Linked DNA regions of Styela clava. The protein of the gene in region 1 interacts with the protein of each later gene in a pairwise test. Links are inferred from orthologs where the notes say so. Each region holds a gene or a part of one and is shown in the gene's direction. Other genes may lie near its edges.

Region 1 (8,794 bases):
AAAAGGATTTCCTGGTCTTCATTGACAAACAGGATACATACGCTAGCTCTTCTAAAATAAAAATAACTACCAGACAACTTACATGGATCCAATTCTTGATCTGCTATCCAATGTTGAAGTCATTTCTTCTCTGACTTTACTTATGTCTAGTTTGCATTCCTCAACTGATCTTTGCAAGGAATCCATCTTTTCCAGCAATCTTGTTTCCATTGCATCCTGCCATGATAATAAATAAGATATTTTGAATTATCAATTTTAGGATGTGGAAATTTATGCTTTGTGTTCAGTCTAATAGTTAGTCCGGTGGAGCTGACTGTGATGATGTTGCAGTAACTTGAAGGTTAATAATCTTGATGTTCTAACCTTGGCTTGGGATTAATGAAGCCGAATCAAAGAGATTGGCTGCTTGTCTTGCCTCTTAATCAGAGTGAAACACATGAGAAAATTTACATTCAGGAGCTTCCTTTCATGCCAGACAGGATTTCATTACATATAACTCCCTATATATTAGTGGCATAGTTGCGGAACAGCTATCAAAGCTCTCTTGTATATTTTGGCTCTTTAAAAACAATGACATATATTATTCACCTGTTTGCTTTGAGCCAGAGATGCATTCAGTTCCATAATTTGTGAAATTTGATGTTCAATCCTGGTTCGTTCACTCTCAGACCATTTCCGATTACTATCTATGGAAAGTCTGATGTCTTCCAAGACTTGCTGCAGAGAAAAACCGTAAATTCAATTGTTATCCCATTACCCACTTGGCAATATGGCCACACCAACGTTGTATTGGATGGAGTAGTAAATGCTGAACCTGAAAGATTTAGGTCCTTCCAAAAATAGTTGCACCTTTGTCCTTGTATATCATTGGCTGCTTAATTCAGGGCCTTGTTATGAGTTTGAATAAAATATATCTTGTTTGCTAACATATTCTTTCATCAAAGTGAAAGTTGTCAAACATTACGATCTTTATTGTATTTTCATTCGGCTAATGTTATGATTTTACAGTGCTTCGTTAAAACTGTACAAACAAGGTTTATAGAAAGTAGAAACTGTCATTAAAGTTATAGCATATCATGGCTCAACTTTTGCATTTAAGAGGCTTCAGATCTGTCATAATAACGCTCGCTGAACATTTAATCATTTCGAACATGTTTCAAAAACAAGTTTCATCGATTACATCGTAGGTAATAATTTAAAAAAATTTCAAATTTCACTGTATTTGTGAAATCATCACATGAGTGCAAGCTCACCCTCATTCTCGAATCCATAGCTTGAAGTTGGGAAGAGCTTGTTCCTTTTATAACTTCTATTTTCCCTTCCTGCTGAGTCATCACAATATCAAGTCTTCTGGTCAATTCAGAAATCTGAAGCACAATTGAGGAAAAAGGCAGTATTAGCCACTGAACACTAAAATTGAAGAGACAAATGGCAGGAGACTACCAAATTTAAATGAAAGGATTTTGGCAAACGTATTGGAAAGCCTGTTTTTCTCAGTACTAGATAATGAACAATATAGGATAAAGCGAAAGACATAAGGTGTACAGAACTGAAGACATGAAACATCCATCTGGCATTCACACATTCAGGTAGGACATGCTTATCACATTTATGTCTGGACCATGATTGTCTAACAATAAATATTAATAACAAATACCTAATATAAATTTCTTAATTTAAAATCAATATTAGCCCAGGAAGGTATAACAACTCGTTGCATACAAAAATATAAAAGTTGAAAGTGAGTATGACATGGAGGTTCAAATTAAACACAAACAAGACACAACCAAGGAAATTTTGCTAAAATGTCAATATAGTAAAACAAATCAAAAACCTACAAAGCGTTCAACTCTTGCATACTTTTATAGATATACAAGCTACAAACCTCTCTTTCAAGATGATCTATCTTATGTTTATTTGTGTCTGTGCTTTGATCAACATGTTTTTTATCTAGTTCATTGGCTGATGTTGCCGACCTTACATCTTGAGCAAGTCTGGCAATCAGAGCATCACATCTAAATTTTTAAAAAAATGTTTAGCAAAATGTACTGAAATCTTGGAGTAACTATAAAAGCAAAACTCATATAGATGGACCAAATGCTAAATTGAGAAAATATCCAAAAAAACTTATGCAAGAATTAATTGAAATACCAATTTATACGAGAATACATTTAATATGTAAGTGGCAGCTGGTCAACAGCAACACATTTACCAAATCATCTCCAAATTTAGCCAGAGATTATCTATTACTAACTTTATAAACAATAACAACTGAGTAGCCATGGAGTGTGCAATCAAATTAAAAATATTTTTTGTCTAATCATAGAAATCAATGGGTAATTTATAGTTGCTATCAATGTAATACAGCACATAAAAATTAATCAATCTACTTCGTCTATGTCCCCATCTTATTTCCTGCCCTCAAAAAAAAGTGGTAATTTTCCATAATCAATTTTCAACCCTCGCCATATTTTTTCCTTATTTTCACCAATATCAAATTTGAAAACTAGAAAAAGTTCGTCTGTTCATAAAGAATACGGGAATACTGTACAATATCATTCCAGATATTTAGCCAACAGCGACGCTTCTACACACTTATCATCAATGCTTTAGCTTTAAAAGCAACTAAATTTTTGATAAGACAAAAACGGAGTGGAATTGATAGAATAAACAATAGTAGTCTTACCTTGCCACACGACCTCTCAGATCGGCAACCCCCGCATGAGCAAATTGTTCAACATTTTTAGCTTGATAGGAAGCATCCACTATTCCACGATCTCTGGATGAAATCTGACAATGCAATCATTTCAAAAACAATCAGATATGGGGTCCTGATGGGTAAAGCATTCGACTTAACGGTGATGACATAACTAAATGGAATCTTGGGTTCGAATTCCACAACCACCGCCTTACCCTGGATTTGATGAATTAGGTAGGCGGTATCGAACTGATAAGATTACGGCGCTTCCAAACTATGGTATCTCCTTATCTAGCAGTGGTGACTTGACTTGTGCAGAGTCTTGTTCAGAGAAAAGTCATATACTATCGTTAGATAAAAAATTTAGATAGCAGGGTTTCATCATAGTATAACTCTAAATTATATGTCATCAAAGCGCTCCATACGAGCCCACGGAGACAGAAAGCTAGGGCTTTATGCCGATAAACTCCGAGTTAAAAAGTTACCTCAAATTTAAGTTCTTCAACATCTCGACTCAACTTTTTAACAGAGCTTGTTACGCTTCTGATATGCTCGTGCCATAATTGCTGCAATGCATCATCCATACTTGATGGTCGAATATCACTGGATAAAGCTTCTTTGAACTGAGAATAAAAAAATAAAGAAATTTTACTGTAAGTATAGCCTAAGTATTAGTATAGTCAAAGTAGCTATTCACATTTAGTGGTCGTCCGTAATTTCATTTTGAGATCAGTCTCCTTAATTTCGGAGTAAGTTTGTGTCACTTTGCTTTGAGTAGCAACTTGAGTAGCCTAACTTTTTTTGAACCTAAAAAACTGCAAACAAGGCTCTGTCATGTGAAGGAGGATACTATTTGCCCTTTACATTGATCATCTGACTTTTTACATTATAGATAAGCTGGGAAGCTTTAATTAGATCAAAACCTCCAGTCCGCAATTAAGACAAATTTGAGTTAAATATCATATTGATAGAAGCAGTAAAACAATGTTATTAATAACAGAGTGCACAGCAAAAAGAAGATTGAAAATATATTCAAATCGAACAAATAGTAATTGTAAAAGAAACGATTGTTGAAACTTACTTCAAATGCTTTTTCAATCAATGATTTAGTTGCTCTTTCCTGTTCTAACAATCTGTCCTCCAAATGATTTAATCTACGATTACCCCGACGATCAGATCTAAATATATCAAGAAGTTATTTTCATTTAGACATAAAAACTTCAATTTCATGAAAGCCAATCTTGGAAGTCAATGTTTTCAAATTAATACTGCAAAATAGTGGTTTATGTAATCGCTAATAGCTAATTCTACTACCCATGTCTAATCATGTATATATAACCTTGCCACGCAATAGAAATCAGAAAAAAACATATCTGGATATTGTGCCTAACTTCAAATACTAAAATATGACATAAACTTAAGTTATGTCTGGTTTACAAAAATTTGAATATCGCCAATCATATTCCTATAGATCTACAGCATGAAAAGTAAATAAAATATAACTTTATGGTCATAAATCAAGGGTACCATAAACGGAACAAACACGCGTCTTGTCATCTATAAATAACAGCAATAAAAGTTGGAAACATTTGGATTCTGTCTTCATAACAAGGTTATATTACTTCGTATATAAAAAAAATAATTCAGCACATACCTTCTAACAACGACTGTACCGTCGTAACCGTTATCGGACATAACTTCGCAATCTTTCCGTGTTTTTTCCGGGAGATTTTGATAACGCAAAATCCACGAAATGTCACCAAAACACAAAAATCTCAGCGTTGTTGGAAACGTAACTGTTCATGCATGTCAGTAATTTCCTTCTAGCGATTCCATTGAGTTTTAGTAAATATTCACAGTGGTAATCAAAACCATGATATTCAAAATTCTAAAAAAATGATTAATAATCTTGATCTAATTCGGAAACTAAAAATAATAAAAAAAAAAATAAAAAAAAAAATAAAAAATGCTAACTTTGCCAGATCGTATTTCTGTACCGTAATATGGATTTCACAGCTATGTTCTCTATTTTATTTCATCACTTCTTGCAATATCTGAAAACTAAAGGCTAAAATGTAATGTCGTTTGTTTTTTGTTTTGCAGATGTTTTTTCGCATCTCCCTTACTATTAATTAATTATTACGATACTATTAATTATTTTTACGGGATTTATGACGCTTTTGAAATCATTTGTCACTAAAAAACGGAGAAAGGACAAAAAAATTGTGGATATTTATGAGTCTGTGACCTGGTGACTGCGTGAGGAGAAATAATACTGGATTTTCTTCTTGCTGAAGGTACGGTAAGCTGTAATAATTATACATTTCAGATAGCAGCATATCTCAGTAGGTACGGTACCGTATCTGGGCTTATAAAACTATATTTTCGAACAACCAAAAGACCTCATTCAGGCATTTCCTTGCTTTATTGTAATATCTGAATTTGTTAGGATGATTGAATGAATTTGCGAATGTTTAAAATGAGGAAATTTGTAAAAGCATATCTAATCTACATATGTACCCTATATACATATTATATATATTATTTTATTTAATATATTATCTTTATGTTTTTTATTGCTGATAGTCAAATGCTGTATGTTGCATAGTGCTATGCTAGGCATTAAGAATATGGTACCCACTGGCTGGGAAGCACAGTTCTAGGGAATTGCTGTACTCGTAGCTCTTGTTTGGTCAGTTACCGCATCCACCAAGTCTATGGATGTGAAACTAATTACTAGACTTGTTTACTATCCCGATACGCAACATGCTCACCCAGACAATTGGTTGTCTTATGATTAAGCCATCTTATCCTCATCCCTGCGATAAATTAAAAAAATTCGAACCTCCTGCTCATTAATATAGGCTATTCATTTTTACCATTTTAATTCTGTCTTCAGATGCCTCCCAAAATGTCGAACCGTCAAAGAAAAATAGCGGCCATGTTTGCCGCTGATAGTGAAGAAGAGAATGAGATGGAGAAATTCGAATTAACGAATGATGACATTGCTAACGAATTTAATCCAGATCGACCACAATTCAAGCAAACAAAGGAACAAGCTCTTTATGGAATCTGGGCAAAATCATCTGAGAACAATTATGGGTTAGTTATTCAAGACTGTCAAATTGAAAAATCGATTTTTAGTTTGTTTTTTATGTGAGATTTCCTCCAAACAAGGCAACCATTAGTATGCACTACTATTTTTTATGACCCGGAATATCTTTGACCTTTTCTCTTTCCAGTTTATTATGCCCTGGGTGAAGTGTAGGCTTGGATCTGAGATATTTAATGCGCAATGCCAACACTATAACCATTATGGCATCACAATCATTGTTTGAAGCAGCGATTTCCAACCAGGGGCCGTTGCCCTCTACGGTGTTCAGGGAGCAGTTGGAGGGGGATGCAATGCTGGATGCAAAATTAACTTTTCAGTTTACAAGAAAACTCCCCTTTTTTTCTAGTTTCATTGCTTGAGAAGGTTATTTCACAAGTGTCATCACTTTTTTAGGCATGAATTGTTTGAACTGGAATGATAAACAAGAGTTCGAACGCTTCCAACTTATTCAAAGACATGTGGAATCAATGTATATCTGATCTATCGTATTAAGCATCAATTCAAAAATTTATTCAAGACTGAAATTATTAAGAAATTTGTTATAAGCTCATTGATAATGCTTCAAAAGTTATTAGGATAAATTTTTCTTTTTAGTATAAAATGAACATTAAGTAAAGTATTGATAATTTGTGTTTTCAAATTTTATAACAGGTTTTAGTGACAAAACAATTTTTTTTTTATCTACTACACATTCTAATTTTTACAGCAAAAAGAAACGCGATTTCTCAGCACCAGTAACCTTTATCAGTGGAGGTTTAAAAGAAGGAGAAAAACGTCAACGATATGATCCAGAAGAGGAAGAGAATATGGATGATTATGATGTTGAAGGAAGACAGACTAAAGAAACGTATATTGTTTTTTCAATTCTTAATTTTTATAAAATAATTATGTTTGCTTTTATTAGAGCAGTGGTTTTCAAACGGTGGGGAACGTAGACAATTTTTTAAGGAGACATGAAACTAATTAATTAAGTTACAAATTCTCTCGCCTTTTCCGCTAATTTTTTTGTGGCCCAGCTAAATGTCTGAAATGGGTTATATGGACCATCAACAAATAGTGTTGCACACCTCTGTATTAGAGTAAGAACTTATAATATATTCAATACTAATATTTATTTCAGCAAACCTGTAACTCTACACTCAGTCCAGAAACCAAAGCCTAAGCCTTCGACCTCAGCCGTTGGGACTAGTGGATCTGGTGGTCATGCATATAGTTTAACAGCGAAACAAAAACAGAAAGAAAAAATGGCGACGCAATTTGGGTCATTTGAGAGGCATACAAAGGGAATAGGTAATTTATTAGTATTTCATTATTAATTTCAGTCTTTCTTTAACAAATGAAAGCTTAAAACTTGGGGAACAAACATTTTGTCTGCATTACTACTGTTTAAATGAGATAGTAAAACTGGGGCGAACACAACTTTTTGTTTGGGTAGATGTTGCTTACATGAATCCCGTTTGTGTGACCATCAGACCACTGTTCTTCCCCTAAAGTGGTTATCCTATGATTCCTAAACAGAAGATATTGTCAGACACCCAGAATAGGGTGTCTAACCTTTTTTAGGACCACAGACTATTTTGAACCAAATTAAACTCTTCCCCTCTGTTAAGTTTCGTTGACTATACTAGGGGTTCTCAATCTTTTGGAGTTATGGAGCCCATAAAGAGGTTGACTATTGTTTTATAAAAATAAAAACACATCTAGAAACATTAATATTTACCGTTTGATGTCCTTGAAAAAACCAAAATTGCTTTGTTGAATGATTTGGATGAATTCATATTTAAAAAATATTCAGTATTCTAATAAGTAAACAATAGCTCGCGGAGCCCCTGGGTTTTTTCTCAGGGAGCCCTGGGGCTCTGAATGGGGCACTTTGGGAACCCATGGATTATACCGATACAATATAATCACTAATGACCTCTTCGTTAGCATCTCTGTTATGTCCCTTTTTTTTAACTAATTAACTTCTTTTTAGGTATGAAACTGATGAAAAAAATGGGTTACAAAGTCGGTAAGGGTTTGGGTCGAGATAATCAAGGTATCGTGAATCCAATCGAAGCAATGAAAAGAACAAAGAAAGCCGGATTAGGAGCGGCAGGAACCGAACGAACAAAACAATCGTACATTCATTTTCCAACGCAGGATTCAGAGGAAGAAGAAGAAAAGGATTTTAAGGTGAATATGTCTTGAATGAAGAATAAAATGTCTTCGTATTCAGGGCTGTGAATTCCAGGGTTAGAATGTTTTTACCAGAGTAGAGTCGTATTTTCAAACTTGTCTGATTCGGAATTCTCCGGAGTCAGAAATTTGAGTTTTTCGATTGTGGTTACAGAACACGAAACCTTCTACACAGATTCTACAGATTTAGTTTACTGAGCATTCATATCTGTCAAATAGAAAAACCGGTACTCCTGTAGTATGTGAACCAAGATGGCTAACATAGGAACGTAGTATGTGTACCAGGTTAGGGTTGGGCCATTATTTTATTAGAATTTTCCTTATTTTAGTTTCTATTACGAGTTCGGAGACTAGCCAATTGACTTCCGTAGTATTTGTACCTGAAACTATGGCCTAACCCTAACCTGGTGCACATGCTATGTTCCGGTGTCCGCCATTTTAGTTTACATACTACGGGAGTACCGAAAAGACTTGCATATGGCAAGGTTTTGACGCAATCGCAATCAAAATTTTTTACAACCAGGAACCAGGAAACATTTTTTGCGACTCATAGTTTGTGTCGAAAGTTCACTGTTCTGTTATCAATATTCTTTTCATTGTGGAATGGTAGGGTTTTAACTACATTGTCATATGATTGACTTTAGTTTGTTATCGGCTGTTTTTTCAAAACATTTGAAACTTTGTCCTATTTGCTGGATAGACGGTTTCTCTTATCACATTGTCTTAAATGGTTTTCTTGCCAAACAGATAATCTTGTTCGAGAAAATCTACTTGAAGAATCGATTGCATAAAATTGATGACAA
Region 2 (7,539 bases), on another chromosome or scaffold:
TCAAAAGAAATATTACTAAATGAAAAATTGTTCAGTTTTGATTTAATTAATATAGCGACACCCCTATAGTTTGAGTTCCCGCTATTCCATAAACTTGTATCCCATTTCCACTTCCGGCGCCATTTTAATGCAACGTCTGGGGTGCAGTGCGTTTCTTGTAAAAATATCACATCTGCTTTTTGCTTGGTTAATCCATGAAAAACATCTTTTCGTTTTTGGTTGTCTCTTATTCCATTTACATTAATTGTTAATATTGTTAAATACAGCACCATTATATGTGTTTTTTTATTTCTTATTTGTTCTTTGATTTGGTAATATGAGAAGAATTACAAGTGTTATTCGCTCATACTCTGAAGATATTCATTTGCCTCTTTTATGGTCATAGTTCTTTGTTTTCTCCCCGTTTTTTTCTTTCTTGGTGGTGATCTTTCATTTGAATCAGTGTTAGTAGATATTTTTTGTGTTAGATTTTCTTGCTGTTGTTTGTCTCGTCCCAAAACATATAATATAGTTTTCTCTGATGAATTAGATTTGCTTGTCGAATTCTCAGAGTGCATCTGTTTTTCATTCCCTTTTCCATTAATTTCATTATCTTCACTGATGTCTGAGATGTTGCCAAACATTTCAGGTTGTAAACTTGATACAGTTATACATTCTTCTGCATTTGCTGGTGTGCTTTGTTTTGGGCTAGCATTTTTTACTGGTTCTATATCAATAGTTTCTTTTTCTTGTCTGGGTGTAGTTTCTTTTTCTTGTCTGGGTGCTAATATGGTTTCGTCATCTCTTACATTTTCTGGACTTGTTAATTTTTGTCCTGTATCTTTGTATTTTACAAATTTTGGAATGAATTCCTCACATGCATTCTTCAAATGACCAGTTTTGCCACAAATGCGACAAGTTGGTTTTTGTCCCCAATATTTAACGAAAAGAGAATGTCCCTTTATTTTGACATAACTCTTGATGGGTTTTTCCATAATATCATCTTTTCTTATAAAAAATCTACGAATACCATTTTTTATGTTGAACCTGTCTTTTAATGGGAGAACTTCTCCTATTTTTCCATGGTTGTTTTCAAAGTGTTCTTTTATTTCAATTTCCTTCAATGGGATTGGTACATGATGTATAAAAACAGCAACATTTCCGGGAACATAAAGCCTATGTAGTAGTAGGTTTTCTGCCCCTATTCTTTTCATCTCCCACAATTTCTTATCGACATCTATCGCAGTTGTTCTGGTTTTGTATGTATATCAACTGTGGTTTTAGATGTCATCAAGAATCCATCCACTGATTCAAACACAATACCAACTTTTCTGAATAAATCCCATACATCTTCTCTTCTAACAATCTTGTCATCACCAAATTTCAAGGCCATACATTTAGACCTATCTAAAGTGGATCTTTCTTCTTCATCTTTTTTCCGAGCATTTCTCAGTTTGTCAGAATAAAGCGACATCTTCAGATATTACTTTATAAGTTGTTGATTAGTCTAGTCCAGGCCTGCACAACTCAAATTACCACGAGGGCCGCAAGCATAAATTTGAAGGCTCGGCGGGCCGCAAACTTTGCCACATACATATTTCACAAAATGAACTACAAATCGAAATAATATTGTAAAACAGTTAAACTTAATGAAACACTTTCATTACTGGGGGGGCTTAAAATTATGAAGAATCTTATTTTCCTGAGTAAAGACAAGGTACAGTATTTTTGCATATGAGATGGCAAATATGTATTGAGTGGTTCAACTACCTTGAAAATCCACCCTTCATTTTCAATATTTCTTCGACTGTTAAATTACATTTTTCTACAAAATCTGCTCCAATTTTTTGAAATTTAACAGTAAACAGCAAAATCTTTTGTGCGAGAATTTCTGCACCATTCATAAATGAAGGAATTGTTTTTAAGTTTTAAATTTGAAAAAGAAACTACAGTTTCATAAACTGCTAGTAAAAAATAGTGGAATTATCAATAGGTAGCTAATATGCACTAATGGGTGTGAGATTGTGCCGATATTGTTTTAAGCGTGATTCAGTTTGAACACTGAGATATCTAAATCAGGGTTTTCCAAACTTGGGGCGAGAAACAGTTAAACTTAATGAAACACTTTCATTACTGGGGGGGCTTAAAATTATGAAGAATCTTATTTTCCTGAGTAAAGACAAGGTACAGTATTTTTGCATATGAGATGGCAAATATGTATTGAGTGGTTCAACTACCTTGAAAACCCACCCTTCATTTTCAATATTTCTTCGACTGTTAAATTACATTTTTCTACAAAATCTGCTCCAATTTTTTGAAATTTAACAGTAAACAGCAAAATCTTTTGTGCGAGAATTCCTGCACCATTCATAAATGAAGGAATTGTTTTTAAGTTCTAAATTTGAAAAAGAAACTACTGTTTCATAAACTGCTAGTAAAAAATAGTGGAATTATCAATAGGTAGCTAATATGCACTAATGGGTGTGAGATTGTACCGATATTGTTTTAAGCGTGATTCAGTTTGAACACTGAGATATCTAAATCAGAGTTTTCCAAACTTGGGGCGAGAGGTCGAGCAACAAATTTTAAGGGTCGCGAAGGGCACACCAATTTCACACAAAGTTCGATATTTATTGAAACTAGTGCAAAACATAAACCTCCCGATTTCGAATATGATCGGCGTAGCGGCTCGCTTGCATAAATAACAATGCCGGCTTTGATTGTTAGACCCGAGAAGTGGCGTGTTTCCAAATCAACCGCGGGCCGCACAGAAGTATCTGGCGGGCCGCATGTGGCCCGCGGGCCGCATGTTGTGCAGGCCTGGTCTAGTCTAACGTTGTTTATTATTTTATATAATATCTTATAATATAATATCTGTGACACTATATCAGGGATGGCGAACCACTGACCCGCGGAACTAAAATATAAATGTTTGCAGACGTCTCGAAACTCACATTTGAAGAATGATTTGCTGTCACCAGATGGGGTTTTGGCGTGGAAACACATCTAGAGGGAATTTATGAATATATGTCTAAAAAAAACATTTGAAACAGCCATGTAAACTAACAGACCAACATGTTTAACTCAATAGCCTGATAAATTGCTACAACACCGTTTCGGTATTACCAATGTCACGGAAGTAAACAAGAAATTCGATGTTCCGGACAAAACGTCGCATAAAACTGAGGATCAACATAGCACACGAGAGGGCGCCGTAGAGAGAGTAGGGTCGAATGTTTGCTCGTTTAAAGTTTGAGTTTCACATTCACCTGTGTTAACTTTTCATCGTCATTTTGTTTTTGTTAGACTAGACAGGGCGCGTTTTCTGCAAGACCGAGAAGATTGCTGGGGTCTGGTATAGTTTAGTACCACATGCACTTCTAGTTGGCCTGGCTCAACAATTTTTGCATATGTCAATCCTAACCCTCACCTGACTACGTCACCCAAAAAGTACCGGTACGTCATTTCGACGTCACAGTGGCGTAATAATGACCACCAAAGTACAGAAGTATGCGAATGGTCGTCCAAAACGCGCAGACGAGCACCCGAAATCGAGCAAGCTACGGTATCTCTCTTGTTTTCTCGTCACAACGATCACGATAGGAGAGAGATCGCTGGCTTTAGCGAGTTCGTTATCGGCGGCGCAGATGTCATTTCAGGCGATCGTAATTATACTTTTGCAAGACCTATGACGTGATGGCGACGTCGTAGTGACGTAATTTTTGGATGGCATAGTCAGGTGGGGGTTAGGAATAACATATGCAAAATTCGTTATGCTACGCCCACTGTAAGTACCTGTGGTACTAAACTATACTGGACTCGATTGCTGAGTTCTTCATCGCCGTAGGGCAGTATGATGAGAATGACAGTCTACCGTATGGTACCGGTACCTATCGTTTATTTACTGCAATTTTGGATTTGGATTTACATATTTATCCCGGGGGAGAGGAAAGCCGATAAGACGGCTTAATCGTATGGTGAACCACGGCCTCTTGTCCGGTTACCAGTCCAGGTCGGGTATGGGATTAGTTAGCCAGTTATTTGTTTTCGAAAGCTTGGACTTCCCGACAATGATGCAATCACAGACGAGAGAACTGGGTTGATTTTAATAAAACAACTTTGTTTTTTTTATATTTGTATTTTTATATCTTTTAATTTGTGGTGTGTCAAGTTCAAGAAGGAGAACCATTTTTTCCCAATTACTAAGCTGTTTTTATATGTTACTTACAACCTAGGTAAGTCAAATCCTTACTAAAGCCCAATCATAATACAATTTTTTTTTCTTTAATCTTCAATCAGTATACTGTTTTGGAACATTTTAAATCAGCAGTATGAATGAATGTTATTGAACAGTATTTATTACATTAAAGTTGGTTTTCGTTGGATTTTTTAAATGAATATTCTGCCAAAGAAGAGTTGGCATGTTCGTAATAAGGATAACGTTGCCAAAGTAAGACGAGATGAAGAGAATGCAAGGCTTGAGGAAAAGGAGCAAAATCGTCGCGCTGCTTTGGCTGAGCGAGAAGCAAGAACAAAACATCTACGAGATAAAGCTCGTCAAAGAGCAATTGAAACCGGGGCTGATTTTAAACAAATAGAAGGCTCATCTGAGAAAAGTCTTTTACCTACAAATTTCTTTACGAATTCAACACTTGAACGGGGTGCAACTTCATCAATAAAAAATGTGGAACATGAAAAAGAGAAAAAAGAAGAACAAGTGAATTATGAAAAGAAGATTGGTCTCTTGACTTACTTGGGCCAGAGTGCAGCGGAAACAATGGAGGACTCTGACAAGCCATGGTATTTTAAAACACCAAAGCGATATTCAGATGGTAAAAAAGGGGATTCGTCTATCGAGGATCATCAAGAAGCAGATTTGAAAAGAAAAAATTCTTTGGATCCAATCCAAGCAATGCAAAATCATTTACAGAAGAAAAAACTTGTGGAATCGAGAAAAGAAAAAACGAAAAAGAAACATAAGAGAAAACACAAACATCAACTTTTTGAAAAGGAATCTGTCCCACGCCGATCAGGTTCATCTAATGATAAATTAGCGAAATTAAGAGAAGAAAGACTTAAGCGAGAGAAAAAGGAAAGAGAAAGGACTATAGCACTTTTAAATAATGGAGAATCCAATTCATCTAATAATTATAACATTGAACGAGGGCGATATAATTCCCAATATAATCCTCATCTTGTGAGACAAAAATATCATTCTAAATATTGATATCAGATCGTTTTTATCTCTGAATAAGGTCCCGTCTTTCACAATATATTTTATCAGTATCACTGTGATTAAACAAATCAGTTAGATATCTTGTATACATTTTAAACCCCAGTTTTGGGTCTAAGCGCCTAATTTGCAAGTCAAGCTAAATCTCTGATATTCGATTTGTGAGCCCAGTCCAAGTCGTCGTGCATTTCACATTAACACCAAAAGTTTTGTCTTGTGTTTAACCAGAGTTGTTTTGATAATTTAATCAGTGTTGGATTTAATAATGTATTGCAGTATTTACCTCTCCATCAACCCATCCTAATATGAGTTGGCCTATTTCTACAAGCTGTAAATTTTTGGTTTTCCAATTCAGTATGTGGTAAATCATTTTTTACCAAAATTTTGTTTCATTTTCAAAATTTTGACCGAAATTATCTTTAGTCCCAAGTCATTTCTCTCTGGTGGTTGGAAAAATCTTTCTGTTTAAATGATCTGAGTCACTTCGACTCTGTGGTTCCCTAAAACTGTTACACAGATTACAGATAAATAATTTGCATTTTTCCGGGTAATATAAAAGAGATTCTATTCTTCCATATTGAGTCCTACGAGAAACATTTGTGATGCAAGATCTCTGAACTTATTCGTAACTTATAGTTTAAGTGATTTTAAATACAAATTGTCGTTTTGACATTTATAATCATATCGACATTGATATTTATAATATTGCGCATTGATTTATATAACAATGTTATTAACTAGGATATTTTTGTTTTTGAATTTCAAGATGTAGTTTTAATTTTTACTGTAAATTGATATGGCTGACTTTGTACAGTTACCTTTTGGTGCTAAACTATTATGGGATCGCAAAGGGCTGATATCTTCATCTGTTGTATTATTTATATGGATGTATGGTCATCTCATAGTTTTTCTACCAATTCTCGTACCTCATTATAAAGATGGAAATATTTCTAGCATTACAATTTCAGGTAAGCTTTCAAAATTAATTCCTTTTATATTTAAAATTTAATTCCTGGCGCAAAGAACAAGTGTTTAGCTTATGCAAATTATTTTAACATCAAAAATATATTTTATAACACTATGAGAATGTGGCGATACAATATATTTCATATTTTCAGGATATCTTTTTCTCAGCATTGCAACCATTGTTGCATTTTTCCGTTCCATGTTTTCAGACCCTGGAAAGGTAGAAAAGGTTGAAGATACAAAGGTATGATTTTGCTATAATATTTTGCTTTCTTTAAAAATTCGATTATTTTTTTCAGCTATCAGTTTCATGCTAGTATCCCTTAAACAGTGCACTATGATTTTTAGCGAGCCAATGAGTGAAGAAATATATTTTGTAATATGTTCGTTTCGGTTTTGTTGGTTTTTAGTATATTTCAAGTCCATATGTTATCTTAATGAAGAAGTATTTTTGTTAGATACCAAAGGAAGGAGGTAGTACGTTCATCCTAATATGCTAAACATTCTCAATTGACTTGAATTCTATCGCATTGGATTTTATATATGCTATTGGTCTTCATCCTCCATATATTTACTTATTATTTATGTTGTCAGATTGATTGGCGAACATGGGAAAAATGTGTGCGATGTTGCATGGCTCGACCTCCAAGAAGTCATCACTGTAGCAAGTGTAATTATTGTGTGTTGAATATGGATCATCATTGTCAATGGTAATATAGCTGACTTTAATTAACCTTAATAAAGTGGTCATATTCGTGATTTAAAAAAATTAACATTATTACTCTTGTTAAATATGATTCAGAATGTGAAATCAAATATAAGTAACACATTTTAAATATGAACTTCTTTCACAAAGAATATGGATTCTGAATGCTTGAATTACTCTTGTTATTTGTAGAATACTAAATAACAAACGAGAATAATAAATATCGATCAGAGACCGAACCTTTATCGATCGAAAGTTAGGGGATCCCTCAAAACAGCGCTCTTACTCCATAGTGACACCTTGTGTCCCATCACTAATTAATTAATAACTCGCTAATTATACGACATAATTCATCCAAAATCAATAGGCTTCTGGTACGACATATAATGAATGTACATGCAAAAGCAGATTCAGTCTCGCTTTCGTGAGATGTCGCGTGCACCTAACAGTCAAACGGACAAATACCTATCAACATACCTACCGATTAAAATCGATAAGTAATGAGGTAGAGGCTGCTGAACTAGAACGAAACTTGTTCCTCCAAGCAATGCAGCTCCATATATATTAGTAGTAACTTGTCTTGTGTCTCATTTGCAGTGAAGATATAAATATAACAAATCGTTCATTCTTTTATTTTTGGGTGACGTGGTATTTT
Region 3 (7,551 bases), on another chromosome or scaffold:
ACTCAAGACTGCTATTGTCGATTATAGAACTTCAGCTCTAGAGTCTTTGCAATATATGAAGGAAAACCCAGGTAAAACAACAATGTATACAGGATTATTGCTATTTGGAATCCGACTCAATCGGACAATGCCGACCGAAACCGAGTTTTATGCAAAGCTTGTAGACAAGTCTAATGAAATTGTATTATTGAATGATAAAACTCGAAACAAAGAATCAGATGAACACATTCAAAAAGTTTCTGGATATTTTGCAAAGGGACGAATTCGCCATCAAAATTTAGTGATTTTCTCTCTAATTTATTATACTGATTATGACGTAACTAATAAGCATTATGAATCGCAATGTAAATTTTTACGTCCAAAATGGAGGGAATTTCATAATCGAATAGTGGATATTGGTTTATATCGACGATGGTGGGTGCTGAGATACCATACAACAGACTATGATATAAATTTTGAAGAGTTTCCAAAAGACCTTGATTCCACATGGGCACAAATAAAAGACTTTTTCAACAGAATATTGGAAATTTCATATTTTGGAAATCCTGCTATTCCTTTATCTGAGCAAAGAAAAGTTAGAAAAGCAATTGAAGTTGTTGAATAGAATACATACTGGTATTTTGTCTTTTTTCAATCACCTATTAAAATTGTTTAATTCACTACAAGGTATTTAAACTTTTATGTGGTTAAACATCAATAAATTCATCAGTTCTGAGGTCATAAATTTGTTTCTTTTTATTTGTTTGTTATGGTTTTCATAATGTTTTGAACTACGCGGAGTAAAAATTTGTAATTAATTGCTTAGCTTTTGTTTTTTCCAAGCATTTTTTATCTGGTATCCAGTTTGTTAGTCTACATTTAATTCAATGTCATTTATTGTTTAGGTTTACGTTAACAACATTCTAGTTATGTCTTCCAACACCAATCCACTGACCCGTAAAAAAGGTCATCCTCGAAGTATAAGAGTAAAAGTAATTAGCATGGGCAATGCCGAAGTTGGTAAAAGCTGTTTAATCAAGCGATACTGTGAAAAGAGATTTGTAAATAAATATCTGGCGACTATTGGGATTGATTATGGTGTCACAAAAGTACAAGTAAATGATAAAGAACTGAAAGTAAATATTTTCGATATGGCAGGACATCCCTACTTTTACGAAGTACGAAATGAGTTTTACAAAGACACACAAGCTGCAATTCTTGTTTATGATGTAACAAACCGTGTCAGTTTCGAATGCCTTGAATCATGGTTACAAGAAATGCGGCAAGAAATTGGAAAACCTCAAAAAATGGACAATGTGATATTTTTTGTTTGCGCTAACAAAACTGATAAAGGTAACAGAGTGGTTGATACAACAGAAGGAAGATTATGGGCAGATGGAAAAGGTTTTCATTATTTTGAAACATCAGCCGGTACGGGGGAAGGTGTAAATGAAATGTTCCAGGCCATGTTTAATGCATTAGTAGAACTATCTGAAAATGGAGGAAAGCGTGGTCCTGTAAACACCAATCTTGGTTTTACGAAAGAACAAGCCGATGCTATATTGAGGATAAAAAATGGACGTGATAATTATGAAAAACTTGGAGTACATCATTCTGCGACAAGAGATGATATTAATAAAGCTTATCGTAAGCTTGCTGTTTTGCTTCATCCTGATAAAAATGTAGCTCCTGGAAGTGAAGATGCATTCAAACTTCTTGTCAATGCAAGAACTGCATTGTTAAAAAATAGATGATCATTTGATTTTTTGAATATTTGTGCTTTTTTTTTGTACCATATATTTATTATATGTAATATCTATCAAACGATTTGAAATTATGAAAAATATGGCCCACAGGCGTTTAAAATCTTGAGTGGGGGAATATTTCTCAATTTCTATTGGTCATAAAGGTTATTTACCTTCAACCTTAAAAGCAGTTGCATAAAAGTTACGAGAAAGAAAAGTAAAGCACATAATGATATATCTAACAACAAACCGAGGATGAAATAAGTACATACAATTTAGAATTTTTCAAATGCAATCTTATAACAGATTAAATTCGGTGTAAAAGTTCGAGAAATCCCTTTAATATATAAGTGAGTGAGTGCATGTGGCCCTTGTTTGAACAAATTTCTTTATTCAATAGTCAAATTGAAAGTTTTTTTTAAATATTGCATCCATTATATCTAATACACCTGTTAACTAAATCAATTCATCGAAATTAATTATTTGTGTTGTGAATTGTGATGTCAGATTCTTAGATATCCTCATTATTACTAAAGCTTCAAATATTCACTCCTTCTGCATAATTTTAATGGAATTTTGAGTCAGATATCTGTACAAAACACTCTCCATTAATATTAGGTGCCGGTATTTATTATTAAGAGGAGTAATATAGTTTTATGATTTTGCCTTTATTTTTTTAATTTTTAGAGAAAAATATATATTTTTCACTATATTTCAAAATTTTGTATTTGTAATATTTTGTATACTATTCTGTTTAGTTAATTCTCTATTTTACCTATAATTTTAAACAACACATTACTAACTCTTTTATCTCATATGTATTACAAAATTATTGATGTAGTTAATAATTGGTTATATCAATGTCTCCAGCTATTACACACACATGTTTGTTAAATGTAGTGGTACCACATTTATGGAAAATAGTTATTATGTTAGTCTCAGATTATACATAGTTTTTTTTTTTCAATGAAAGTGTGGAAAATAGTGGCTGGATTGGAATATGTTTTCCTAAGTTGAATTGCTTCAAAATTTACTAAAAATTCATGTCTGAGAATTTATACTACTAACCTGGGCAGTGGCGCAACCAGCGGGGGGGTTACGGGGGTCGTGTCCCCCCCGTTTGAATTTCGTTTTTTTTATTATTGTTCTACGTTAAAACAACGTCGTTCCACAGTCATAACAATCGGGTGAAAACTACTTTTTTCCAGTGCTTTATCACCTCGACGTAATTTAACACCGCCCGACTTCAATCATACTTTTTTGCTGATAGTTACGTAATAATCGCTAACGCCGCGTATATGTTTGTATTCGAAAATGAGATATGTTATCTCAAAAAAGTAGAAATCGCGCGCTGTCGATGCGAATTGAAAGCGACAATAGCATAATGCTATCTCTCTCTCTCTTGTGACGAATACTCTCGTGCTTCATCATCTTGACGCAATGTAACGCCGCCCGTCTTCATGTTATAATAATGCAGTAGAAACTCTGAAAATCTGGATACGAAAATTATTTTCGGAAAAATATTGCTTCGAATAACCTAAGATTTTCTACATATGAAAGGCCGAAAACGCCGTAAACATCCTACCGCCCCCGTCCACGTTCTGATTTAAAAACATTCCACAATTATTTCATTTTTATCGCAATCGAAAGCAGCCATGTGTGGCACGGCAATAACTAACGGTCGTCGTGAAAGGTTTTCAATAAACTCTGACTTGAAGTGCTTATAAGACGTCGAGGACGTTTTGGGTTGAAAATTTTTTACATTTGTTATCGTATATTTCAATTTAGTCAAGATATGTTGTGCGTCTCGGCAATAAACTTAAAAGCAAATCCTGTCCTAATTAATTGTTTTCATCCTCAGTTTCGATAGTTATCGAACTTAACGGGAAATTTTTTAATTTCTTGCAATCTATAAAATAGCTTCTAAATATTATTTGGTTTCTATCGGAGATTTTATCGTTATCCCGAGTCCTGACGTCGTTGATAACAATATCGTTCATTTTAAGTTGGAGGTATTGGTTTATAATCAAAAAATTATAACACATAACATGAAAAATTTAAATCAACGCTGACTCAAAAAGTAAAACACGTTTTTCCATCTTCATTCTCCATTATTGGCGGACGGAAATTTGGGAATCGGGATTAACTAATTTGATTATGATGACGATGGTAAACAAAAGTACACAAACATACTATACCGTTCTTAGTCGTTATTTCTCTGTCCTTTCTTCTTTCTATGTGCATATTAAGACCATAAAACGTGTTTTATTATTGAATTCTGCGCTGATTTGAATATTTCATGTCGGCTGTTATGTATTTTTGTTTGTAAATGAATACCGCTAACTTTAACTGAACTGATGTTGTTATCAATGCCGGATGCCAACGAAATCCGCGATAGATATTAAATACTATTTAAGGGCTATTTTATACGCGCTAAATTAGAAGAAATGAAAAAATTTTCTGTTATGTTCGGTCACTATCGAAACTGAGGATGAAAACAACTAATTAAGACACAATTTGCCGAGGACGCCTAAACCATCTCGACTAAGTTAAAATACCCGATAAGAAAATATTTTCAATCAAAAACGTCCTCGAAGTCTTATAAGTTCTTCAAGTCGGCGTTTATCGAAAGTCTTTCATGTCAGCTGTAATATATTGCCGAACCACACATGGACGACGACGCCTAGGATATGTGCGCCATATTTGGGATTATTATAAACACGAAAAAACAGTATTTGAAGTTTGCGATATTTGAATTTAAATTCGATTTGGACATCCCTGCATTAAATTAGTCAGTTTTTAGTTGTGTTTCCAAAAATTAGTTGTAAATCAATTATTTTAATTGTCATTATGTCTTCCGGTGAGCTTCAGTTTAGTTTAGAATTTTTCCGGGGTTAGGGTCGGGAAAAGGTCCATTCGCAAGAAGTGCATTTTGTTTTTAGTCTTGACGAATTCACCCAACGAGCAAGGCGCGGCACGAGGGAAACACTGGAATTTATTCAAGCCGTGTTTCACTATCCACGAGGCGCAAAGCGAGGAAAACGTTGAAAATAATTAACAGCTTTTCGTTAGCAATTCGCTGGAATGTAATGAACGGCGTTTTGCTACCCACGAGGTGCAAGACATAGCGAAGCGCCGTTAAGAACGAGTGCAAGGTAAGCGAAAGGCTGGGATTTAATCGATGGCGTTTCCCTTTTAACCATGAGCAATTTATCGTGGTCAGCGGGGCGACACCTAGTGGCGTTGCGACTTACGTCGTGGTTGCACTGTGTAAATTCCGGTCGGACCCCCCCGTTGAAAACGGCCTGGTTGCGCCACTGAACCTGGGTTCATAATTGAGTATTTGCATGTGGTAATTTATTGTTCTAATGCTTTTGCAACATATGTTCTTTAAGCCATGTGGCAAGTTTTATACAGTTACTGTTTTTTAACTTCAGGTGCTGTAAATATATATTTAACATTATAATTTATATTTTTCTGTGTGATTTCATGCTTCCACCTTTTTTATTTTAATTTTAGATTTTCAAATATTACCATAATCAAGATAAAAATGGGAAAAAGTAAAAAAGTCAAAGCGAAGCGTGCAGAGCCTCTGGCTGTGAAGCAATCAGTTGGTCTGGTTGAGGATATCACAGCAGACAATGTTACTAAGGCGGCATCAAATCGGCAACCGAAGGTTCGATTCAGACAAGAAGAAGATGATTTTGTCGATAATCGATTAACAAAAAAAATTCTTGATGCAGCAGTAAAACAACAAAAAGAACTGGAAGGAGAAGTTGGGATCGGAGCTTCAAAATTTAAAACTGTAATAAAACTAGGAAAGAAAAGTAATTCCGATTCAGAAAATGAGGATGAAGATGAGTGGCCAAGTTTAGCAGAAAGTGCTGCTCTTGCCGCTTCAGGGGAATATCAAGATCAAGACATAGTTATAAATCAAGAAGATGAAAAAGCATTACAGGCTTTTATGAATCCTGATCCACCAACAAGAAGAACTTTAGCTGATATAATCATGGAGAAAATTACAGAAAAGAAAACCGATGTCTCTACACTAATGCCTGATGTTGAAAATCCCATGCCGGATATTGATCCTAGAATCATTGAAGTTTACAAAGATGTCAAAAGCATTTTAATTAGATACAGAAGTGGGAAGCTGCCGAAAGCATTCAAAGTTTTACCACATCTTAAAAATTGGGAAGAGATTTTGTATATCACGGAGCCGGATACTTGGAGTGCAGCTGCGTTGTATCAAGCAACAAGAATATTTGCTTCAAATCTTAACGTTCACATGGCTCAAAGATTTTTTAATTTGGTTTTACTGCCACGTATAAGGGATGATATTCATTACTACAAAAGATTGAACTTTCACCTTTTTATGGCATTAAAAAAGGCGCTTTACAAACCGGCAGCCTTTTTTAAAGGAATCATTTTGCCACTATGTGAAGAAGGTACATGTACTTTGAGAGAAGCTACAATAATCTCGAGCGTCATCACAAAATGCACGATACCTGTTCTTCATGCTAGTGCAGCAATGATCAAAATAGCAGAAATGCATTATAGTGGTGGTAACAGCATTTTTCTCCGAGCTTTGATTACTAAAAAGTATGCACTACCATTTCGAGTCATTGATGCTCTTGTGTTCCACTTCTCTCAGTTTCGTAACGACAAAAGGGAGTTGCCAGTGTTATGGCATCAATGTCTTTTATCCTTTGTCGAGACCTATAGAAATGATGTCTCTGATGAACAAGCAGATAGCTTGAGAGAGTTGCTGAGGTATCAAATCCATCCTAAGATCACACCAGAAATAAGACAACAACTCATGTCCAGGGAAAGCAAAGAAATTATAATGGAGGAACCTGAATAACAATGAAGTTTAATCTTGTAATCAATAAATTATAAAATTATTTTGACTGTTTTTTGACAGTAAGCAGTGTAGCAGGTATTAGCGTTTTAGATCTCGATGCAAAACTTCACATTTTCATTTTACTTGGCAGCGAGAGGCGTGTTTTGCCATTTGATTGAGTCCCTTTAATCTGGGTGTAAAATATGAGATTCATATCCTGAGAACACTTTATCAAAAAGTTTTGCATGTTTATAGTTCGTTTGTTTAATGTCGACTCTTGGTTTTCATCAGCCGGTTGTCTCAGTAACTAGGCCCCTGAATAAGTGAGGGCAATAATTCAATACCGAAATCCCGTCGCCCTTGATGGCATATCCCAGCATGCCATCCAGCATGTTTTTTTGTTTGTTCGTAATATGATTAAGATTATACACAGTAAAGTTGTCATTATAACTGTGTAATCTGAAAAGTTCATGACCATATGGAAGCGCAAAATCTGCTGCCACGTGACAAGCGGGTTACGTGGTCCTTCCAGTGATAGGCTGAACCATGGGTCCAGGCGTCCAGCGATCCCGTCACATACTATAAACATCCACGGGAATAAATTCCGTTCACACCTCAGAATCATCTAGTAACTATGGTTCATTTGTGATGAAATTATTATATATATTATAGCCTTAAAATTTAACTCCAACGAGCCACACTAGTTCGTATGTAACATAGAAAAATGACAGTATTTCTCTATACAGATAACATTACAATCTTTGTTTACTAATGAAAGCGAAGGCATAGTAAAATAAATTCTATTAAAAACAATGACAACTCAAATGTGGTATTAATGAATATAGCATGAATTCACAACTTCTGCGTAGGGACAAATCAATTACTTCAGTCTTAAGGGGTAAGAAAGTGTATATTTACTTGTTGTTGGTTATTTACTGTTGTTAAACGAAGAATCAGCATTAGCGCCTTTCTACAATCTTCCCAAAA
Region 4 (8,270 bases), on another chromosome or scaffold:
AAGATACTTCTAGCGAAGACCAGACCACTGAAATGGGGATAAAAGATGTCACTTTTGATAGAAAAAAGCTTGATAAAAGCAATGACAAATCACAGGTTTTTCAAGAGATTCCTACAGGAACAGCTCCCAAAATTTTGAGTAAAAGTGGTTATTCTTCTGATTCTCAAGCAATCGTTAGCAATGAAACTGAGTCTTGCGCTATTGGTAATTTGAAGGACTTAGATTCAACAGAAGAACGTACAAAATTTAATAGTGATGTACGTGAAATTGAGAAGACCTCTTTAGGTTTCTCAGCGAGTAATAAAGCAGCTGATGCATCGACATTGAAACAGTCTGCACCCCAGGAATCAATGCAATATAGTGTCATAGACAATCCCAATCCTTTATCCCTAGAAACTGCCAATAAAGAGGAACAATATAGGACATATACAACTGTGGCTACGATTATAGAGGGTGTTATAACTGCCAATAAAGAAAAACTGGGAATAGCGGATGAAAAAACTTGTCCAAGTAAGCTTATGATACCTGCCAACATAATATCTGAAACAGAGCAGTCATACACACGTTTGCATGATAATCCGAATTCTGTTCAAGCAAGCAAACTGAATGTCACTTCTGTAATTGATGATGCAAAAAGTGTTATTTCAAAAGAATCGGAAAATAATACATCTACCAGTTCTTCTATATCTAGTCAGTCTGACACTTGTACAACTTCCAAAACTGTGACTAAATCCGGGGTAACTCTTGTTAAAAAGGGTTCGCAAGTTTATACAAAAATTATGCCATCTCGGCCATTCTCTGGGATTTCTCATTCACCACGAAGCGCATTTACTCCAGCAAAACATAGAATAACACCTGAACCTGGGAAATCTTCAATTTTAAAACGAAGTCCGCAAATGGATAGGCTTGCTGCTTTATCACATAGTAATCCCAAAGCACCACTTCTAAGATCAACCTCAATGCCTGTGTCAATAGAGGATGATAAAACTTCTCAAATACGACCACACAAGACTTTACTTCGAACTGGGTCAATATCTGATTACACGAAACAGAAATTGAAAAGTTCAATTTTGATGAGAACTTCAGCATCACTGGTGCGTAAACCAAGTATTACAGAGCACGAAATTGAACAAATTTTAACTGATCCAGAATCATCTCAATCTGAGGACGATGATGAAATTGAAAGGAACTTTAAACCACTTGGTTCTCCATCAACCTCTGCTTATACTTCAATAGATGTGATCAACAGACCGGTAGCAGTGACCCCTGTTTTGTCAACAAACAAGGACGTCCCAGTTTCAACTTCAACAATTACATGAGTCGTGGCTAGTTTTTGCGCTATCGAATCTGAATTTGATGTCACTCACCATGAAAGTCTTGACTACATGAAGAGAGAGAGAGAGATTTATTGTTCGTCAACCAGAAAAAACAAACTTTGCATCAATAGTTAAAATATACAGCAACTTAAGGAAAGGTTTTTAGCTTGATAGTCTGATGGAAAGATGAAGAAAAATCATGTCACAACAATGCAAATGGTATCATATGACATATCAGAACCTGAAATGGCCCAAATTTAATACTTAACTACTTCGCTCGACATCCCAATCAAACATCCATACTTCGAGTACATCCTGTAAACTTCGTTAAATAAGGAATGCCCGATATAATCTATCCAGTTATGTCTACAGAATGCATGCATGTATAATTGTACATTCATAGGATTGCAATATTACAGCTAAGAAGAGCAAAGATAAATTTTGTTTTATTTTTTTTTCATATGGAATTGACCGAAGCCTATTATTTTGTCCATTTTTGTATCATTAGCTATAAATGATAAATGTGTCATTTAAATATTCTCTATTTTGAATATAACCGATTCTGAATGTTTGATCAGCACTGGTATTCTTTATGTATCAATATTCTGCCATTATTATGAGGTCATGTAAGCGTGTCATCAATTTTGTTAAATACTGATTTTGTTTTGAATTGATGAAGTCATTTTTAGCCTATATCTGTCCTCCATTTCAGATGATCAGTAAATGTGCATAACATAATGAATAAAGTTTTTCAATTTGATTTTGAATATAATACAAAGATATTGAGAAGTATTGGAAATATATTTTTTCAGAGAAAAATTAATTTTTTTAGAAACCAGCAGTAGGTTTGTTAATCTGAAGAATAGTCTGAAAATACATTGTTTTTTTTTGACAATAACTAAGAAGAGTATTGTTCATGCAAGTAAATTTATTTTATTGTGATGCGATTTACTGTCATCAATATCTTATGTTTGTTTATATACCTTCATCAATAACATATAAAGGCTTAGCAATAAAGTCTTGATGTTAGTCATAACTCATAAAATAGAGCAGCATACCAATGCAATCAAAATAATTGATAATATTTAATTTTTCTTTTCAAATTTTAGATCAACTTTCGCTATATAATAGTAATATGATTTTTAACTGAGAAACTAAACATTTATACACACCATATTCTGTGTATACTGTATTTATGTATTTGAAATTCATTATTGTAAATTGGTATTCACTGTTTAATTGTTTGACAATAACGTATATGTGTCTCATACTGAACTGAGCAAATTTCGTACATCAACCCACCAAATGGGACACACATATGATCATGTGTTCAACATTTCTATCAATGCTATCAGAATGATAACTTTGGTTTTGGTGCAACCAACTGAAGTGGGTGCTATAGCCAAGCTAAAGCTTTAGACTTGATTATTCGGGCATCGCAGATTGCACCAGGGTTAGAAGCCCATGTGCACTAGAGATGTACCGATACCACTTTTGTCGCCGATACCGATACCAGCTAAAAACGCCGATACCGATACCGATACGCCGATACTACAAAAAGGCCGATATTACCGATATTCCGATACAGATACTATGTAATTATTACTTAATTAGGTATGCTGTGTAGGGCAGACGGGTTAAAACAATGGTCTTTAAGCGTTGTTCATAGTACACATTATTTCAGATCAAAAAAAAGATATATATATCACATAATATGAAATTAATGTTTGGTATCCATATACTGTAACTGATTAAGATACATTGTACAGTAACGCTAGTAATCTCGGTGTTTAATTAGAAAACTCATAAGCCGAGATGTCCAATTTGAATTTAATGTTAATATCGCGAGCTTCGAATATCGTTATTCGTGTTTAAAAGAATATCGAATATCACCCACACATTCTAGCGCCGCCGTCCTACGTTCAAATTAAAAGCATTTTACAAATATTTAATTCAGTGGCTAATCGTAATCGTCGACGCAATAAGTCAAAGCCAACATGAAAGAATATCAATCAGCACCGACAAAAAGAAGGCCCACCGATAACCGTTGAGGATGTTTTTTTACTTCACTATTTTATAATATTTTACAATTGCTATCTTATATTTTGAGACAGTCTAGGGCTAGGCGGTCAAGTCAATATATCTATAAAGAAATCGTGTAGTTAAGCAGAATTAAAATTAATACCTGTGTAGAGGGATAATTGTGTCGGAATTTAGTTTATCGATGTCGACGGACTAAATGACACTCGTACTTGACGACAAACAGTCAGAATTTATACCCGTGCCAAAAGTCCATGTGCCGTTAATAAGGAAGGACCCCAATTCCACTGCATGATTTAAAACTGGGCGCCTAGTTGCTTTTTGTTATGTGCTGTGTTGATATATTTCTTCATAAAAACTATGTAATATTAAAAATGTCAATATAAAAATTTGACAGCGAAAATAGCCAAATTAGTTGAGCTAGTTTAGCTGATAAATAGCTAAAAACATGTGAATCCTATTCTCTCGCGGGGGTGGGGACATGTATGGCTCACGATCTCTCCAGACAAAAATAAATTAAAAAGTAGTATTCCAACTTATCTTTTAAAACATTCTGGACCATATCAAAAAGGTAAATATATCGGTAATATCGGCCTTAATCTAACCGATACCGATACATGGCCGATACCAAAAAAATGACCGATATTGCCGATACCGATACCGATACATCGGTACATCTCTAATGTGCACCTAATGTGCACCCTAAAGTGCTAAGACTTAACTGTGCGGACATCTATAGTTACACTATGGTTCAAATCTCATGCTCACAACAATCTCACCCAGGGTGTACTACGTTGAATCTTGAAGATTCCAGTCTTTCCAAAAATAATAACTTCTCACATATTGCTAGATATCAGTGGGGTCTTATGCAGGGCCACATACAGAGCAAAGTGTTTCATTATTAAAATTAAAAATTTCCGAATGTTGGTTAAATTGCTGTCTTTTGCAGTTGGACATGCAAGACTAGTATCAGACAATTATGGTCTTCAAATGTAATTTCTTGATATATATTATAGCTTATTACTGCCATTATTTTATTTTTCTGCTTTTATATCTATGATAATGCTAGTTATGTTCCAACTATACATAGTTGATAACATTTTTCGCCTCTATTTAAAATCGGTTAGTTTACCAAATTTGCAAATTTTTTATATCTCACATTTGCTTTAGAAATGCTTGATCTTCAAATATTTCTTCTCAAACTGTTTTATGAAAACTTACTTAGATATGAAACTCCTTCTAAACTAAAAATTTTGCTCTTAGGCCACAAGAAAAATTGAACACGTTGGTTATGGTCAACATATCATTTTTTTCTATTGCTCTATTGTTTTCTAAAAGAAAATGCTGAGATAAGTTTTGATACAAATATTTAAGTCAACAAACCCACCGAGTGGACATTTTCCAATTTTGGTTCTACTGCTACATTTTTGCAATACCTTATTTATATTGTTCTGTTTTTCTTTATATACAAGGATTCATTGTAGTGTACATTGTGATAGAATAAAAACAATGAAGCAGAAAGAGATGCCCGGTATTACTGTTGACATGAAAGTTATGAGATGTGAACAAAATATTCTCAACAATCCTGATGGATCTGCTGATTACTCTGAAGGTTTTTCAATTTATTGTGTTTTTTTGTACTCTCGTAGTATGTGTACCTGATTAGAGTTGGACCATAATTTTATTCTGATTTTCCTTATTTTAGTTCTATTATGAGTTCGGGGACTGTCTGTGTTAGCAAAAAGAATATACTCCCTGCCCATAAGCTTTCATCCCTTCATACAAATTGATGTAACGTACCGGTAGGCGAATAAAATTAGTTACCTTCATATGAGTATATATACTTCTGGAGCGCCGTTTTTTTTATGATAAGATGTTTTAATCTGAGCTTAAATAGGTGTTTGCTTAAGGTTAGAAAAAGATTGGTGTTCTGATTTTGGAATGACAATTACTTTTCCACTTCCCACCAAATTTATTATATTACACATTGAGTGAGGTGCAGAATGAACCAATTGATTGATCAAGTCTTTCACTAATCGTCTTAAACTGTGAATAGCGACTTGATAAACTGTTAGGCAATGGCATATTCACATGGCCATGTTTGGTAATTCAGTAACAATTTATTCAAAAAATGGGATGCAATGACGGGACCAGTTAACAAGTTTTATATTTTAGAGATATTGCCGAAAACTTTTTGTCAGAATTATTCCACCTGCGAAATCAAATCTACTCGTCATCTCTGGGTAAAGGCAAAATATTCTTCCTGCAATCAAAAAGTCACATAATTTATATTCTGCTCTGAACATTTCACTATCCAGGATATCAAAGAATAATTAGAACAGTTGTTTCAATAGAGTAACTCCATGCTTCCAACAGAAATAGATATATAGATTTATTGATTTGCAACCAAAAATGAAAGTAAAAATACAATGAATGTACACAATGTTTTCCGGTAAAGACCAGAGGGAGCGATACCATACAACCATATGATCATCTAAGTCAGAGATGGCAAACTATAGTTCAATTGATCAATTCCAGATTTATTATTTGCTCTATTTTTAAACACATTCCATTTCAATTTAGGTGACACAAATGTCCTCGTTGCAGTTTATGGACCGGCAGATTGTCGAGAAAGTAAACAATTAATTGACAAAAGTACAATTGAAGTTTCATTCCGACCCAAAGATGGGATTCCTGGCGTTGCGGAGAAATACTTGGAACACACAATAAGGCATACATTTGAAAATGTCATCATGACACATCTATATCCAAGAAGTCAAATAATGATTATTATACAAATTGTTCAAGATTGTGGATCTGTATCCTTTATTAAAAACCTCAGATTTACTAATTTATTTTCATTTTTATGACGAATATTTTGTGTCTTTTGCTCTGAGCAGGGTACTCTCGTAGCATATGTGCCAGGTTAGGATTAGGTCATAATATTATCATAATTTTCTGGTTTTAGTTCTATAATGAGTTCAGGGACTGTCTGTGTTATCCAAGTGAATATCCCCCTTGCCCATGGGTTTCAGTCCCTTTACACAACTTGATGTGAAATAGGCGATCAAACTTAGCTACCTCCATATTGGTACACACATTCTTGGAGTGCCCTGAACAAGCCCATCTGTACTTGCAGACATTGATATCCGAGGTTATTTGAGAAGCTACTGATTTTAGGAGAACCGGAATTTGAGTTTTAGTAGACTTGATTATAACTTTGAGTTTAAAGAGTTTGACTGGTTCAAGCCAGAGATGCCTGGAACTAGAAGGAATTAAATATTCAAATAATTCGAAAATTAGTTATATTCGATTGAGTAAAGTCTTGATTTTAGGAATAATTCAGATTATATTCTTTATTAGCATTTATTATTTTATGATAGAGAAAAAAATTAGTAACTACTGACCAACTAAAATAGAGAATATAGATTGGAACAAATGTTAATTTAAATTCTACTGCATGACTGAATTTGATTTCTATGAATTTACAATTGTCTTTAAATATATCTCTTGTTGAACAGACCCATTTCAGAATGTATTTCATATTCGATAAGATTATTTTACGATGTATGAATTGTATTGAATAGTGGATACTAAAATATTTGGTTTTGGCCCTGAATGGTTCAAGACATTTCGATAAAGATTTGTCATCAAAGTTCCTTAACTACATTTGAAACAGCTTCTTTCTTGTGCTATCAATGGATGCAGCATGGCTTTACAGGTGTGTGTTTGATGTTTTTACTATTTAATAGACTTCTTATGCTCAGCCAAATATCAATATCAATGAATTCTAGATATTCGCATATGGCATATTCGGCTGAGCAGCGGGAATACTTTTGTAATCGCTCCTCTGATTACCCCGTTTGGATTTGCATCCCACAATATATGATGTGTGAGAGGATTTCTAGACTCCTCGGGTAAATTACGGCTTCCTCCACCATCAAGTCCTTGCATTCGAAACAAATGACTTGCTATCAGATCCAATACCAGACGTGGACTAGTGACTACTTGAGACTGTGGTGCGTTGCATGAATAAGCATTATTGTGGCTTTCTCCTCCCCCTGGATAAATTTGAAAATCCTGATATTAATGTGACACTCGGGGACAAGAAAACTCTGGATCGTTTTTCAGATAAGTTCTGGAATGTGGATTGGTATGTCATTGACAAATATAAATATGGTGAAAGTAATAAAATTATGGTTTCATATTTATTTCGAAATGCTCTAGAACTCCAATACGAGCGGTGCGTCCACCCTTGCGGGGTGGGCTCAAAACTTATCAAGAATCCACAATAAGCCTCAACAGTCCTTTAACACACATTTTTTTTATTTAAATATCCTTCGGCCCACAGTAATAATCAGAGGTAAATTGATTACTCCTGATGAAGATGAATAGAAGCTCCCCACCAAATATAGAACAAATAAGGGTGGTCATGTAAACGTTCTATCAAAGGTAATGGATTTGTGGATACTGCCGTAGTATGTGTACCAGGCGAGGCTATAATTTTATTCTGATTTTCCTTATTTTAGTTCTATTACGAGTTCAGAGACTGTCTGTGTTGGCCAGTCTATACATTTCAGTCCCTTTACACAACTTGATGTAAAGTAGGCGAACAAAATTACTTACCTTCATATTGGTACACATATTTCTGGAGTGCTGTGTGTATGCATTTATATCATTTCCAAATGCCTACAATCTTGTTTCAGGATGCTGGAATCAGCATGACATGCATGCCAGCTGCTATATCGATGGCTCTTACGAAACGAGCAATGGAATATGGAATTTCAGAACCTGGTGAAGGAGACACACGAGAGGAAGAAGTAGTACTGACTCCGGCCACCACTGAGGAGCAAGAAGCCAGTGCTTCAATGTTGTTTGTATTAGATAGTGTGAAAAGAAATGTTATATCAATTA

The links.
Region 2: the proteins of tuftelin-interacting protein 11-like (region 1) and leukocyte receptor cluster member 1 homolog interact in binary tests that used the Homo sapiens proteins (3 or more experiments, as listed by UniProt). The link is inferred for Styela clava from reciprocal best matches to the Homo sapiens genes TFIP11 and LENG1.
Region 3: the proteins of tuftelin-interacting protein 11-like (region 1) and bystin-like interact in binary tests that used the Homo sapiens proteins (3 or more experiments, as listed by UniProt). The link is inferred for Styela clava from reciprocal best matches to the Homo sapiens genes TFIP11 and BYSL.
Region 4: the proteins of tuftelin-interacting protein 11-like (region 1) and exosome complex component RRP46-like interact in binary tests that used the Homo sapiens proteins (3 or more experiments, as listed by UniProt). The link is inferred for Styela clava from reciprocal best matches to the Homo sapiens genes TFIP11 and EXOSC5.

Annotation. Positions count from the first base shown.
Region 1 is NC_135264.1:14,210,305-14,219,098, forward strand, and holds the start of tuftelin-interacting protein 11-like, read left to right. Parts: upstream 1-4,805; 5' UTR 4,806-4,995; exon of another isoform or gene 4,996-5,000; intron 5,001-5,597; coding exon 5,598-5,800; intron 5,801-6,519; coding exon 6,520-6,660; intron 6,661-6,933; coding exon 6,934-7,103; intron 7,104-7,788; coding exon 7,789-7,988; intron 7,989-8,794. Other genes in the region: protein FAM81A-like, read right to left, coding at 83-216, 589-717, 1,254-1,367, 1,886-2,015, 2,687-2,790, 3,184-3,321, 3,780-3,876, 4,353-4,393. UniProt on the Homo sapiens protein: Involved in pre-mRNA splicing, specifically in spliceosome disassembly during late-stage splicing events. Intron turnover seems to proceed through reactions in two lariat-intron associated complexes termed Intron Large (IL) and Intron Small (IS).
Region 2 is NC_135251.1:20,485,092-20,492,630, forward strand, and holds leukocyte receptor cluster member 1 homolog, read left to right. Parts: upstream 1-4,257; 5' UTR 4,258-4,372; coding exon 4,373-5,206; 3' UTR 5,207-5,979; downstream 5,980-7,539. Other genes in the region: palmitoyltransferase ZDHHC21-like, read left to right, coding at 6,009-6,180, 6,331-6,422, 6,773-6,888.
Region 3 is NC_135262.1:15,087,399-15,094,949, reverse strand, and holds bystin-like, read left to right. Parts: upstream 1-5,274; coding exon 5,275-6,585; 3' UTR 6,586-6,626; downstream 6,627-7,551. Other genes in the region: mitochondrial import inner membrane translocase subunit Tim29-like, read left to right, coding at 1-604; dnaJ homolog subfamily C member 27-like, read left to right, coding at 909-1,733. UniProt on the Homo sapiens protein: Required for processing of 20S pre-rRNA precursor and biogenesis of 40S ribosomal subunits. May be required for trophinin-dependent regulation of cell adhesion during implantation of human embryos.
Region 4 is NC_135253.1:19,714,295-19,722,564, reverse strand, and holds the start of exosome complex component RRP46-like, read left to right. Parts: upstream 1-4,834; 5' UTR 4,835-4,865; coding exon 4,866-4,968; intron 4,969-5,939; coding exon 5,940-6,175; intron 6,176-7,035; coding exon 7,036-7,077; intron 7,078-8,062; coding exon 8,063-8,270. Other genes in the region: uncharacterized protein LOC120326325, read left to right, coding at 1-1,319. UniProt on the Homo sapiens protein: Non-catalytic component of the RNA exosome complex which has 3'->5' exoribonuclease activity and participates in a multitude of cellular RNA processing and degradation events.